Linked DNA regions of Rattus norvegicus. The protein of the gene in region 1 purifies or fractionates together with the protein of each later gene. This does not show direct contact. Links are inferred from orthologs where the notes say so. Each region holds a gene or a part of one and is shown on either strand. Other genes may lie near its edges.

Region 1 (6,530 bases):
AACGTGCCTCCCCTCTTAAACCTGTGGTTTCAGACTTCAATAGCCGGCCTTTCCCACGACACCCACTCACCAGAAATAGGAAGGATGACAAGGGTTTTGATGAGCCATCACTGAGCAAGATGAGGTGATTCAATTCTTATGCTTACCGACCTACACTGACACTACCCAGAATGAGGTCACCGGGACCACAGTACTTAAGAGAGTTGTTGCCTTAAGGGGAGAAGGCTTCAATAGACCTTGATTTTTTTTTTAAACTTCCGTTTAGATACCAGGTCTCTGCTAATACTTAAAACTTTACAGGGTCTTGGAGTTGGGGCCGGATGTATATAAAACTTATTCCAGGAGTTGGGGATTTAGCTTAGTGGTAGAGCGCTTGCCTAGGAAGTGCAAGGCCCTGGGTTCGGTCCCCAGCTCCGGGGGGAAAAAAAAAAAACCAAAAACAAAAACAAAAAAAACTTATTCCAATTTGAGATGAAATAAAAAATGAAAGAAAAAAAAAAAGGCCTGGATGGGATTCCGAGGCCAAAAGGAGTAACTCTAACCCCAGTAGTTCGGGGCTCAAAGGCAGGTTAAACCCCTACTCTCCCCATAAGAAAATAAAACTAAGAAGGTGGGTAGGAATAGCACCCCCATACTCTCTTGCAATCCCCAAACCAGCCTTTCAAATATACCAACCCTAAAAATGGAAGGGAGAGCTGGGGGAGGCAAGGGAAGTTACCTGAAGAGACCCTTTGCCTAAAGTACACTTGGCCCTTGACGATCTCTTCGTCGTGCTCAAATGGAATATCTCCGCAGACCATGTCATAGAGCAGGATCCCCAGGGACCAAACAGCAGCCGACCTGCCGTGGTAGCGATGGTAGCGAATCCACTCTGGAGGACTGTACACTCGGGTTCCTACCAGCAGAGGGAATAGAAAGAAGCCGGCATTAGCAAAAATAAACAAAGCAAACGGTCGGAGCCCAGAGCCCTTCTTTAAAGATTTTTTTCCTCGGGACAGAGTTTCTCTGTGTAGCCTTGACTGTCCTGGGACTCACTCTGTAGGCCAGGCTGCCCTGGAGATCTGCCTACCTCTCCCAGTGCTGAGATTAAAGGCATGAACCACCACCACCACCACCACCACCAGGCTTTAAAATACTTCTTAAAGGCAGTGCCTGGCTTGGATTGGGCAGCACATGCCTTGAATCCCAGGTCTCAGAAGGCAAGACTTTGAACTTTAAAACAATCATACACATTATTTACACTACATCTCTGCCTCTTTGGTCCAGACAAGTGATATGGTACCTATCCAGGAACCCAAACCCTAAACCCAAATCCTTTACACACTGGCCCAAAAGACAGAGGCAGCGAAAAGCTGAATCGTGGAGGCCCTAATCACTCAGCGGGATAACCTTGAACTACAACGACTCCAAAGACTTTGCCAGATTAGTCTCATCTAGAACGGGCCACTTAAGGACCCTTATACACAACACTGAAGTCAGGGTGTGCTTTGGAAACTCTCCTCTGGGTTTTTTTTTTTTTTTTTTTTGGTTCTTTTTTTCGGAGCTGGGGACCGAACCCAGGGCCTTGCGCTTCCTAGGCAAGCGCTCTACCACTGAGCTAAATCCCCAACCCCTCTCCTCTGGGTTTTAGGCCCCGGACACCTACACTCTTTCCTCCCCAAACTGGAAAGGTACGATTGCAGGGCTGGTTTCAGACCACGTGATTCCTGTTTACAAACTTTGGGTAGTAAAAAAAAAAAAGGCGCTAACCTCAAGGTGCCCAACAGGGGGCAGTAAAGGCTTGCCCAGGGGAGGAAAACACAGGGGAGGACTCAGCCAGCCATTAACTGTTAAATACAAAAAATGCAGCCCAGCCCAGCATCCTCCAAAGAAATTCAAACCACAAGCCAGAGTCACAAGTTTTGAAAGGACGTAGTTTGTTGGGGTGAGCCGCTCAGATCATGACCCACCCTCGTGCTTTGATCTACTATTCCCTCCCCTCCTTTTCTGAAAGAACGCGATCCAAGCCCCTCCCTAGGATAGATAGGTTTTCAGCCTCCCTGAGGAGACACCCAACTAATTTTCAAACCAGCAACAGATCTAATTTCACAACATTCGTCCCAGGCCTCGTCACCCCACAATACCCCCGAGTGGAGTGAACCGCGGCTCTTAGTCCTTTGCCCTCAAAAACAAAACAAAACAAAACCCGGCAGTTCTACGAACTACCTTAAAACTCCCACACAAAAACAAAACTACAAACAAACAAAAAGAACCCGGCACTAAAGTCTCCCGCCACCACCGGCTCCACCTCCTACTGGCGAGAAAAGTGGGTCATACTTTAGAAATCTGGGCTACAGCCGGATTGCCCACGACCTCTTATTCACGGGGAAAGCATGGAATTTACTAAATTCCTACCAAAAAGAAAAACAAGCAAACAGCAGCAGCAGCAACAACAACAAAAAAACCAATCACGCCAGAAATGCTTGTTGCAGGTTTTCAACCAGCTTGAAATCCCCGGCTGTGCTATGCCGGGAAGCTCGCCTCTGCCCCACCCCTGCCAGCTCTGAGCCAGGCGGCCCAATGACCTTTACAAAGGGCCGGAGCCGAGGCCGCCGGAGGCTTCCAAGCCGGCACCTTGGGCAGAGCTCCCTCCCCGGGGCCTGGCTCACCGTCAAAGTCCGTGTAGACTGTGTCCTTGAGCAGCGCCCCCGACCCGAAGTCGATGAGTTTGAGTTCGCCGCGGTTCAGGTCGATTAAGATGTTCTCGTCCTTGATGTCGCGGTGGAGAACCCCGCAGTTGTGGCAATGCCGCACGGCCTCCAGCACCTGCCAGAAGAAGCTCCGGGCCAGCTCCTCCTGGAGGGCTCCTCGCTCGGTGATGAAGTCGAAGAGGTCTTGCACGGGTTCGGGCCTCTCCAGGATCAGCACGAAACTATCGGGCCTCTCGAACCAGTCCAGAAGTCTAATGACGCCCGAGAAGCCCGAGCTCACCTTCTTCAGCAGGACCACTTCCATGGGCACTCGGGTGCCGTTGGGCTGCAAGGGTGAGTGAGGGCGAGGGTTAGCGCGCCGGTTCCGGCACGCCCGTCACCACCCACCCACCCGGGCGAGGGTCTCGGGCTCTGGCTCACTCACCAGTTCCCCCCAGTCGGAAATCCGGTCCTTCTCCACGTGCTTGATGGCCACCTGGAGGAAAAGACAGACCCCCCGAGTCTCCATCAGACCCTCCAGCTCAAAGCATCCCTCCGCGCGCCCTCCCCAAGGCGGGGTTGCCCACTCACCGGCAAGTTGTCGGCGACGCGGATGCCCGAGTAGACCGAGCCGAAGCCACCGCTGCCCAACAGCGGGCCCACCTGGTACTGCGACTCCAGGGGCTCCTTCTCTTTGCCTGGGAGAGAGGCACGGGACACTAAGCGCGCGCGGCCCACGCGGGGGTCCCCCCCAACGACCCGCGCGCCCGGGGTGGGGTGGGGACACTCACCCGGCGCCAGCTTGTTGGCGTGCAGGTCGTTGCAAGGCGCTGCGCGCAGGTGGGCCAGGGAGTTGATCTTGGACAGGAGCATCCCCACCTCCAGGGTGTCGGTGCGGCGCCGGTGCCGGGACGAGCAGCAGCGGCGGCGGAGCGAGCTGGGGCTGAGCCGACGGCCCGGACTCAGACTGCGGGTGGTGTTGCGGCTCGGGCTGCGGCTGGCGCGCAAGGCCGAGGGCGAGTCGGAGGACGACTGAGGGCGCTGGCGGGGCTGGCGGCAGGAGGGCTCGCCGGCCGGGTCAGGCAGTGCGGAAGGCGGCGGGGCGAGAGGCGCCGCGGGACCCAGGGCTGCTGCTGACTGTGACTGCTGCTGCTGCTGCTGCTGCTGCTGCTGCTGCTGCTGCTGCTGCTGCTACTGCTGATCCCGCCGCCGGCGCTGCCGACTCCCCTCCAGCCTCCTCCGCCGCCACGGCCGCTGCTGCAGACGCCCGGCTCGCCCCGCCGCCAGGAGTAAAGGGGCGGAGCGCGCCGCTGGGGAGGGCGCGCGCGGCGGGCGGGGACGGGGCGGGGCCTCTCCGGGAGGCCGAGGTGGGGAGCCGGGCTGGCGCGGCGGCGGAGGGCGGAGAGGGGGCGGGGAGGCGGCGGGACCAGGGCCGCTCCCCTCCGCTCCGCCCCCTCGCAGCTACACCCCTCGGCCTCGGCCCCGCCCCCGGGCGAGGCTGCAGCCAACCATAAGCGGCCTGATCTGCATAAGGCGTTGCGGGCCCCGCCCGGGCCCCGCCCCGCGCCTCGCGGTCAGAATGGTCGCTAACGCCGCCACGACGTGGCGGGAAGGAAAAGGCGCCAAAACGGAGGGGGAGGGGCGCTGGGCGTGCAGGGAGGCGGGGAGCTGGGTGGCGCGCGCGGCCGGGGGAGGAAGGATGGGGAGGGGCGTATCGATTCAAACCCAAACAATAACAAAGCCATCAAAGGCCGCCCGAGGCCAGCTCCGCCGGCTCTGCGTTTCCCGGAGATTTGGGGTGTGGTGGGGGGTCGAGGGTTGGAGCTGGAGCGTAGCAAGTTGTGAGGAATGGAAGGGCGTTGGTGTGGCCGGCGCGGAGGCCATGAGCAGGGGGACCGCGTGTGTGTGGATGCCGACCAGGGTGGTCCTCTGGTGTGACTCAGCCGGGAGACCTCCAAGGCTGCTGGGGTGGGTTGACGATGCACTGTGGGCTAGATCCCGGGGGTGGCGATTGTGTTTCGGGGGGCGAAGGGCTGTGCAAGACGTGAGTCACCGGCGTTTGCACACCGAGGGAGTCACAGGCCTGCGAGGGGAGTTGGGGGGGGGGGAACCTGGGCTGCGAGGAGCGGGTGACAAAAGATTCTCAATTTAGAAAACGAAAAAGAAAATCATAAGATACCAGAAGGTTCTGATCCCCTCAGAAAGGATCCGGGTCCGAGCGCCTGGGAGAGAGAAAATCACGACACAAATGTTAGCTCTCTCCTGCCAGATGCTGCCTCAGCCCCTTCCGAGAGGGCGGGAGGAGCAGGAAAATTCCTGATCGCGGGCGAGGGTGGGAGGGTGCCGCTGGGTTTAATCAGAGGTTGCTCCTGTAGTCACCTTCTTTCTCATCAGCTTGGTATTAGCAGTCAGGCGATACCAGCTATTCTTGGCCCGGGACCGGAGCCTTGTCTCAAAGGAAAGGCCCCACGTGCACGTGGAAATACCGCGTCTTTTGTCCTTTTAAACTTCAGGGAGAGTTGATAACGACGTGTGAAATTGGGAGACTCTCATTCTGTGTAACCTATACACTGAGATGCTAGTGGCAGGGAGTCATTGAAAGCCAGCTACACCCCATTTTCGTTATTTTTGCTTTTTTTTGGGAGGGGGGCGGTCCGAGAGATCTTGAAAGGAGCAGACTGTCGAGCCTGTTACAAAGCCTGTTACAGATGTAGTCATTAACGTGTTTAAAGGCTTCCTTTACAAGTTTTCCGTGGTGCTTATAAAGATACCCAGAGACTCCGTAACAAAACATTACATATTTCCCTTTTGTTTTTGTTCTGTGGCCCAGCTCATTCATTTCTGATGACGAAAGGAGAAAAACCCAGGGGAACAAGAGTTACTTCCTTTTTTGCAGATAGGAAAATGAATCGTAAGTGGGATGACACAGGGTCATACGACAGGCTGGGGAATGACCCAAATTCTGCTCCTGAGGGTTCAGAGCTTTCCTTTAAACTCCTGTGACACTGGCATTGAACAGGGCATCAGAAAACAGGTATGCCTAGAATTGGGCCCAGCATTCTGGTCCAGGCCAGCCTTGTCTACATAGAGAAAAATCTGTCTATAAATAAATTACTTTAAAAACACCAGTGTACCTCCAGTCCCATCAGGTCCTCAGCTCTGTCTAAACAAGACTATTTCCACTTGTTTTCAATCTCCCAGCACATTCCGGGCTTTGTGACTCTGAAAACCAAGTCCACCTGTCCAAAGGGCCCTGTCCTCTTCTCGGAATGTGTTTGATGTTGGGAAATAAATCCAGAGTCCTACACGTGCACCCTGCCCCTGAGCTACGCGCCAGGCGCCAGACCTCTCTCCTCTTATCCAGAGCCCTGCGTTCTGAACGAGGAACACGTCGTATTTGCACATTGTTGCTGGACAAACTCCCAAGTCTTCATTCACTGTCCCTCCTCCACCCATCTGACAGTCATGTGGGGTTATTACAAAGGAAAAAAAAATCTTTCTGGTCAGAGGATGCTGTTTAGTGGGTAGAGTATTTGCTTGCCAGACATAAAATCCTGGGTTCGATTCCCAGCAATACGTGAATGGTACCTTGGGCATTGCCCCTGATCCCAGGACAAAGGAGGCAGAGGCAGAAGGATCAAAAGTTCAAAGTCAGTCGGAGACGCAAAAGATCTTGTCTTCAAACAACAAAAAACTACCTGTACATACACTATCTCTTCATTTATTTATCCCACCTACCCACTTCGTTTTCCTTTTCCTAATTAATATACAATCTCACCGCGCATTCCAAAGACGGGACAGTTCTCAAATTCGTGGGTCTCTTGGCTTCCTGCCTTCCCACTTGCCTACACGGCAAGCGGG
Region 2 (5,973 bases), on another chromosome or scaffold:
TGATTAAAGGAAACCAGACACATGAATCTGCGTGATTCTACTTTTGTGAAGTTTGAAAACAGCATAAATTTGTCTTTCATGATGTCAGAATAGCAGAGACACAGTGAGCCCTTTGTGATGTTTAGGTCGCAGCTCCGTTGGGGATTACTGTGAACATTTTTGAGCACAAGATGTCATGGTGTGTCCCTGTAATCACAGTACTCAGGAGGCTAAGGCAGGGGGATCTTGAGTTGAGCTTGTCTGGGTTACATAGTGAGTTCATGTCTTGGGTTGTTGTTGGTTTGTTTTTTAATGTGGAGTGATATACTTTTATGTAGATTATAACTTGATGGAAAAGTACAAAATACAAAATAAAAGGCCTCAAGATTTGCCCTGTGCTAGATACGTAATTCAGTGACAGAGGTTATCTCGAAACTAGCACAAGCTCTGTATTTGATCTCCATCAAAACGCATGCATGAGCATGTACACACACACACACACAGGTCAGCCAGGCATAGTGACATTAATCCCAGTAGCCGGGAGATACAGGTAGGCAGATCTCTTGAATTTGAGGCAGACTGGTCTACATAATGAGTTCTAGGACAGCCAGAGCTAAACAGAAGACACCCCCCAAAAAAAGTTCTTTTGTAGCTCCTGTCTATCTTCCTGCTTCACAAGCCCTAGCTTTTTAAAAAAAAAAACAAAACCTTAGTAGTGTGTGGGTAAAGAAAAATGTTTTACTCTTTGTTGTTGTTGTTGTTGTTGTTTTCAGTGTTGGGGAATAGATCCAGAATTCATGCACACATTCTAGGAAAGCATTCTCCAACTGAGCTGTGTCCCCAGTCCTAGGAAATTTTGGCTTATGTTCTTTCCTCTGAGCCTGGTTTTTCTGTGTAGCTGTGAATAGCCTAGAGCTTGCTCTCTGGGACAGATTGGATTCAGACTTGCTGCAATCCTCCTGTTCCAGCCTTTCAGGTGCTGGGATTCCGGGCATGCACCACCACACCCAAGAGGTAGTTTATAGGATAACCCATTTGATTTAATTTTCAGTATTTCGTCAATGTATTTTATAGGGGAATTTCCAATGAAAATGGACAGTTGCACATCAGTATAGAAGCAAGTAAAAACTTGCATTTAACAACTAAAAGCCACATTTTCCTTTTTTCTTTTCTTTCTTTCTTTTTTTTTTAAATATGGACCAATTTACAAATTTGTGTGTCATCCTTGTGCAGGAACCTTGCTAATCTTCTCTGTATCGTTCCATTTTTAATATATGTGCTGCCAAAGCGAGCACAAAGCCACATTTTCTTAGTGCTAACATTTTGATTCAGTTAGCATGGTATAAATTTGAATGTAGAATATCAGGGCCTTAAAAATACATATTAACTGGAAAAACAAGAGCTGCTCTCCATTTTGTTAAATTTTAGTTGGTTTTTTTTGTTTGTTTGTTCTTTTTTTAGTTTTTATGACAGCTTTTTATAATGCTGTTATCTAAAGCAGGTGCCAAAATAAGATTATGGAGTATAAATGATAGAAAAGGAAATTGATGCTACCCTAACATAAAGTAGGCAAAAGCTGACAAGGAATGGAAACAAGTCTACAGTAGGTGCCTTTGTTGTTGTTTGTTTGTTTTTGAGATAGAGTTTCTTTGTGTAGACCAGGCTGGTCTCAAACTCCTGCCTCTGCTTCCTGAGTGGTGGGTGATGGTATTAAAGGTATGTGACACTACCGCCTGGCTAATAGGTGTCTTTTATAGATAGTAATTTAATTAATTAATTTATTTATTTATTTTGGAGCTGAGGACTGAACCCACTTTAATTTTATTTATAGTGACTTATTTAGTTAAAATTTTTATGTACAAAAGTTTACCCGAGTGTGTTCCTGTGCATCAGGTGTGTGCAGTGGCTGAGGAGGCCAGAAGAGGGCCTCAGATTCTCTGGAACTGGAGTCACCAGCACATGTGTGCTGGGAATGGAACCCGGATCCTCCAGAAGAGCAACCAGTGTTTAACTGCTGAGCTCTCTCTCCAGCCCCTTTTGTTCAGCCTTTTAATTTTTTTTAAAGTTTTGATGGTGCTAAAATTTAAACCTTGCTTGTGAGGTAAATAGCATTCCACTGCTTAGTCAAATACTTTGTCTCTCTTTGAAAGACGTTGCACTGTTACCTGCCCTGCCCTGGGCTCTGTAGACCAGGCTGGCCTCAAACTCACAGAGACCCACCTGCCTCTGCCTCCCGAGTGCTGGGTTTAAAGGACTGTGCCACCACCACCTGGTATCTACATGGTCTTTGCATACGTGTATCAATATTGCATATTAATATGCACATTCCTACTGATGGTTTTTGTTTTTTTAGATAGATTCGCACTGGGTAGTGTGAGCTACCTGGAACTTACTCTGTATACCAGCCTGGCCTCAACTTAGATCCACTTGCCTGTTTCCCGCCAGCCTCCCAACGTTGGGAATAAAGTTATTTTAAGCTGGGTGTGGTGGTACCTTTCACCCTAGCACTCAAGAGGCAGAGACGCATAAACCTCTGTATGGTTGAGATCTACATAGTAAGTTCTAGTTCCACCAGTTACACTGTAAGGCCTTGTCTCACAAAATAAAACAAATCCAAAACAAAGGTGTGTGCACTTACACCTCACTTCTTACCAAATGCTCGTCTTCTGTGTGTTTGTTTCCAGGCTTTATCACCTTAGTGGCAGAGTGTTATCAACAGCACTGAGCACAGAGCCTGACGTACTGGTTCTGCACGGAGCCTTCACATCCGACACGAGGCAATGGATTGGCTAGGCAGTATTGTGTCTATCAACTGTGGAGATAGCCTGGGCGTCTACCAGGGAAGAGTATCAGCAGTGGATCAGGTCAGCCAGACCATTTCTCTTACTCGGCCCTTCCATAATGGGGTGAAGTGTCTTGTACCAGAAGTCACCTTCCGGTAAGTGTCCTGACCGACGTCCTCCAAAATCCAGCCTGGTGGGTTAGGTGCTGGAGTCGAGGTGATTGACAGTATCTTCTTGCCTGGGCTGTTGGAGTTGAGTCTTGTCAGAAAGGAGAGTTCAGTCTTACAGGCCTTAGAGTTCTGTTGTTCCTCTCAGTGGAGACTGGTGTAATACAGTCATCATCCTGTACTATCTCTTGCCAGGCTTGCACAGGACTCAACTGCCAAATTCAGAAGTGCCCCTTTCTCTTTTTTTGTGGGGGGTGGGGAGTTTCAAAAATTGGGGCTTTTACGGGTTTTTTTTTTGTTTTTTTTGGTTTTTTTTTTTCTTTTCTTTTTCTTTTTTTTCGGAGCTGGGGACCGAACCCAGGGCCTTGCTCTTCCTAGGCAAGCACTCTACCACTGAGCTAAATACCCAACCCCACGTTTTTTTACTTAAACACCAAGACAAGATTGCAGTATGCAGCCCAGGCCAGCCTGGAACTCCCAGAATTCTGCTCGCCTCTGCTTCTCTAGCTATTTTAGATATGTTAAAGTAATCGTAATATATAGGCATAGAAAGTAGATATACAATAAAACATCTATTGTTATTGGACCATATAGAATCTTTTATATAATCTTTGGTATATATAGAACTTTACCACTTATAAAAGGTGGATGTGCTTACTTATTTTTACATAAAGAATGCAAGATTGAGTTGGCAGAGGTAGTGCATGCCTTTAATCCCAGTACTTGGGAGGCAGAGGCAGGCAGGTATCTATGAGTTCAAGGCTAGCTCAGTCTACAGAGAGAATTCCAGGACAGCCTGGACTAGACAGAGAAACCTATCTCAAAACAACAGCAAAAAAGAATTCAATTCTAACATGGCTGAATATTTGATACTGTAGTACACAGAGTATCCTCTTAATACTTTGATTTCATAGTTGTCAGAGGAATGTGGATTCATACATGTAGCTGAGCTCTAGATACTTTGTCTCCCGTCTGTCCCAGGTGGGTGGTCTAAAAGATACCTCAGATTGAAGACCTGCAGCTGAACACGTTTATTTACAGGTTTCTTCCTCGGGAGGCCTGGTCATATTATTGACACCTTTCACCAAAGTTAGACGTTTAAGACTTGGACTGGTGACATGGCTCAGCAAGAGAAAGTGCTTGCTCACAAGCCTAGCAGCCCGAGTGCAGTCCCCAGAACCAGCTCCAGCACATTTCCTCTGACTTCCATGTGCACACTGTGACACTCTGTCCCCTCCATCTATACCCTTCCCCCATGCAATGAATGAATGTAAAGAATCTTAAAAAATTAAAATTTCTCAATGTGAGAGACTGCATTAACTATGTAACACATGTGTGTCTGGTGCCTAGGTAGTCTAGAAGAGGGAGTGGGATTGCATGGAACAGGAATTACAGACAGCTATGTGTCCTCTAGAAGAGCAGCCAGCCTTCTTTTTTTTTTTTTTTTTTTTTGGTTCTTTTTTTTTCGGAGCTGGGGACCGAACCCAGGGCCTTGCGCTTCCTAGGTAAGCGCTCTACCACTGAGCTAAGTCCCCAGCCCCTGCAGCCAGCCTTCTTAACCTTTGAACCATCTCTTCAACCCAAGGGAAACATTTTTTTTTTCCTTTTCTTTTTTTTTTTTTTGGAGCTGGGGACCGAACCCAGGGCCTTGCGGTTGCTAGGCAAGTGCTCTACCACTGAGCTAAATCCCCAACCCAAGGGAAACATTTTTTAAAACAGGGTCTCAAAAGTATAACCTTGCCTGACCTGAAACACACTCTGTAGACCAGGCTGGCCTTGGACTCACAGAGATCCGTTAGCTTGTGCCACCATGTCCAGGGTCCAAGAAAACAAAACCTTAAAAAGGAAATTTAAGAATCATAATGAACGGGGTTGGGGATTTAGCTCAGTGGTAGAGCGCTTGCCTAGCAAGCACAAGGCCCTGGGTTCGATCCCCAGCTCCGAAAAAAAGAAAAGAAAAGAAAAAAAAAGAATCATAATAAACTTTTTCCCAAATATGATGATCTAGAGAGTACTCTTAGAGTTTCAAAGAAAATCCCCATCAGGAGCTGTCCAGCACAGAAAAGCCAAAAACAGGTGGAAGAGCGACTGTATCATCCTGGCTGCCTTGTAACTCTATGTAAACCATGCTGCCTTCAAATGGTGATGATTGGAGGTGGCGATCCTGCCTTTGTCTCCTAAATGTAGGATTCTGGGCAAGAGCTGCAATGCCCTGTTGGTTCCTTCCTCTTTCCTGTTGCCATGGAAAAGTCTATTGTGCTTATGATTATCACCTTACCTTCCCGATAGCCTTCCACAAGCATTTCTCCTTATGTACTACCGTAGAGAACATTTGCAGTTCTTCCTGTGGACAGTGCCAGATTTTCTTAGTCTCTGACTCTCTGGGTGAGATGTCTTTCACCCTAGCGTCCTCTGCATGTGTCTTTTCCAGTGCGCAGACTGAGTCCCTTAAAGGAAGTACTGTGTCTCTGTGTAGCTTGCTCATAACCAGGGCTCACCACATAGTAAGGGCATTGTATGTTGAAAAGCAAATGGGTGAAAGAATTTAAGAAAGCTACTAGCATTCTGGAAATCTAAGGAGGCTATAGAGCTGTTCTTAACAACTGGGTCTCTAAAGTAGTGTATGAGTTGCAAGTTGGTGGCTGGGCATGGTCTGTAGATGTCCTGCTACCTTTCTTAATTTCACTTCTGTTAACCCTGAGTTACTGCAGTTTTGCAGAGTGCAGTTTCTTCCTTAACCCCAGTTTCATCTCTACCACTTTCCTATTGCTACTATAATTTTGAGACTTGGACTTTTGTGTGTTTCAGGGCAGGTGATATTACAGAATTAAAAATCTTGGAGATACCAGGTCCTGGAGACAACCAGCAGTTTGGAGACCTTCATCAGACAGAATTAGGCCCTTCTGGTGTTGGGTACCAAATGAGTATCAATCAGAATGGAACAGGCAAGGTGGTCAAGAAGCCAGCCTCTTCCAGTAGTGCCCCTCAGAGCATCCCTAAGAGGACAGATATGAAGAGCCAGGACGTTGCCATTTCTCCTCAGC

What was found.
Region 2: the proteins of Pim1 (region 1) and Edc3 purify together in Homo sapiens (affinity purification with mass spectrometry; 3 studies listed by BioGRID and IntAct, counting the BioPlex papers as one, with this or other methods). This does not show direct contact. The link is inferred for Rattus norvegicus from reciprocal best matches to the Homo sapiens genes PIM1 and EDC3.

The regions. Positions count from the first base shown.
Region 1 is NC_086038.1:7,553,511-7,560,040, reverse strand, and holds the start of Pim1 (serine/threonine-protein kinase pim-1), read right to left. Parts: upstream 3,546-6,530; 5' UTR 3,543-3,545; coding exon 3,461-3,542; intron 3,368-3,460; coding exon 3,261-3,367; intron 3,166-3,260; coding exon 3,115-3,165; intron 3,016-3,114; coding exon 2,649-3,015; intron 896-2,648; coding exon 719-895; intron 1-718. UniProt on the Homo sapiens protein: Proto-oncogene with serine/threonine kinase activity involved in cell survival and cell proliferation and thus providing a selective advantage in tumorigenesis.
Region 2 is NC_086026.1:67,003,696-67,009,668, forward strand, and holds part of Edc3 (enhancer of mRNA-decapping protein 3), read left to right. Parts: intron 1-1,167; exon of another isoform or gene 1,168-1,274; intron 1,275-2,663; 5' UTR 2,664-2,759; coding exon 2,760-2,917; intron 2,918-5,737; coding exon 5,738-5,973. UniProt on the Homo sapiens protein: Binds single-stranded RNA. Involved in the process of mRNA degradation and in the positive regulation of mRNA decapping. May play a role in spermiogenesis and oogenesis.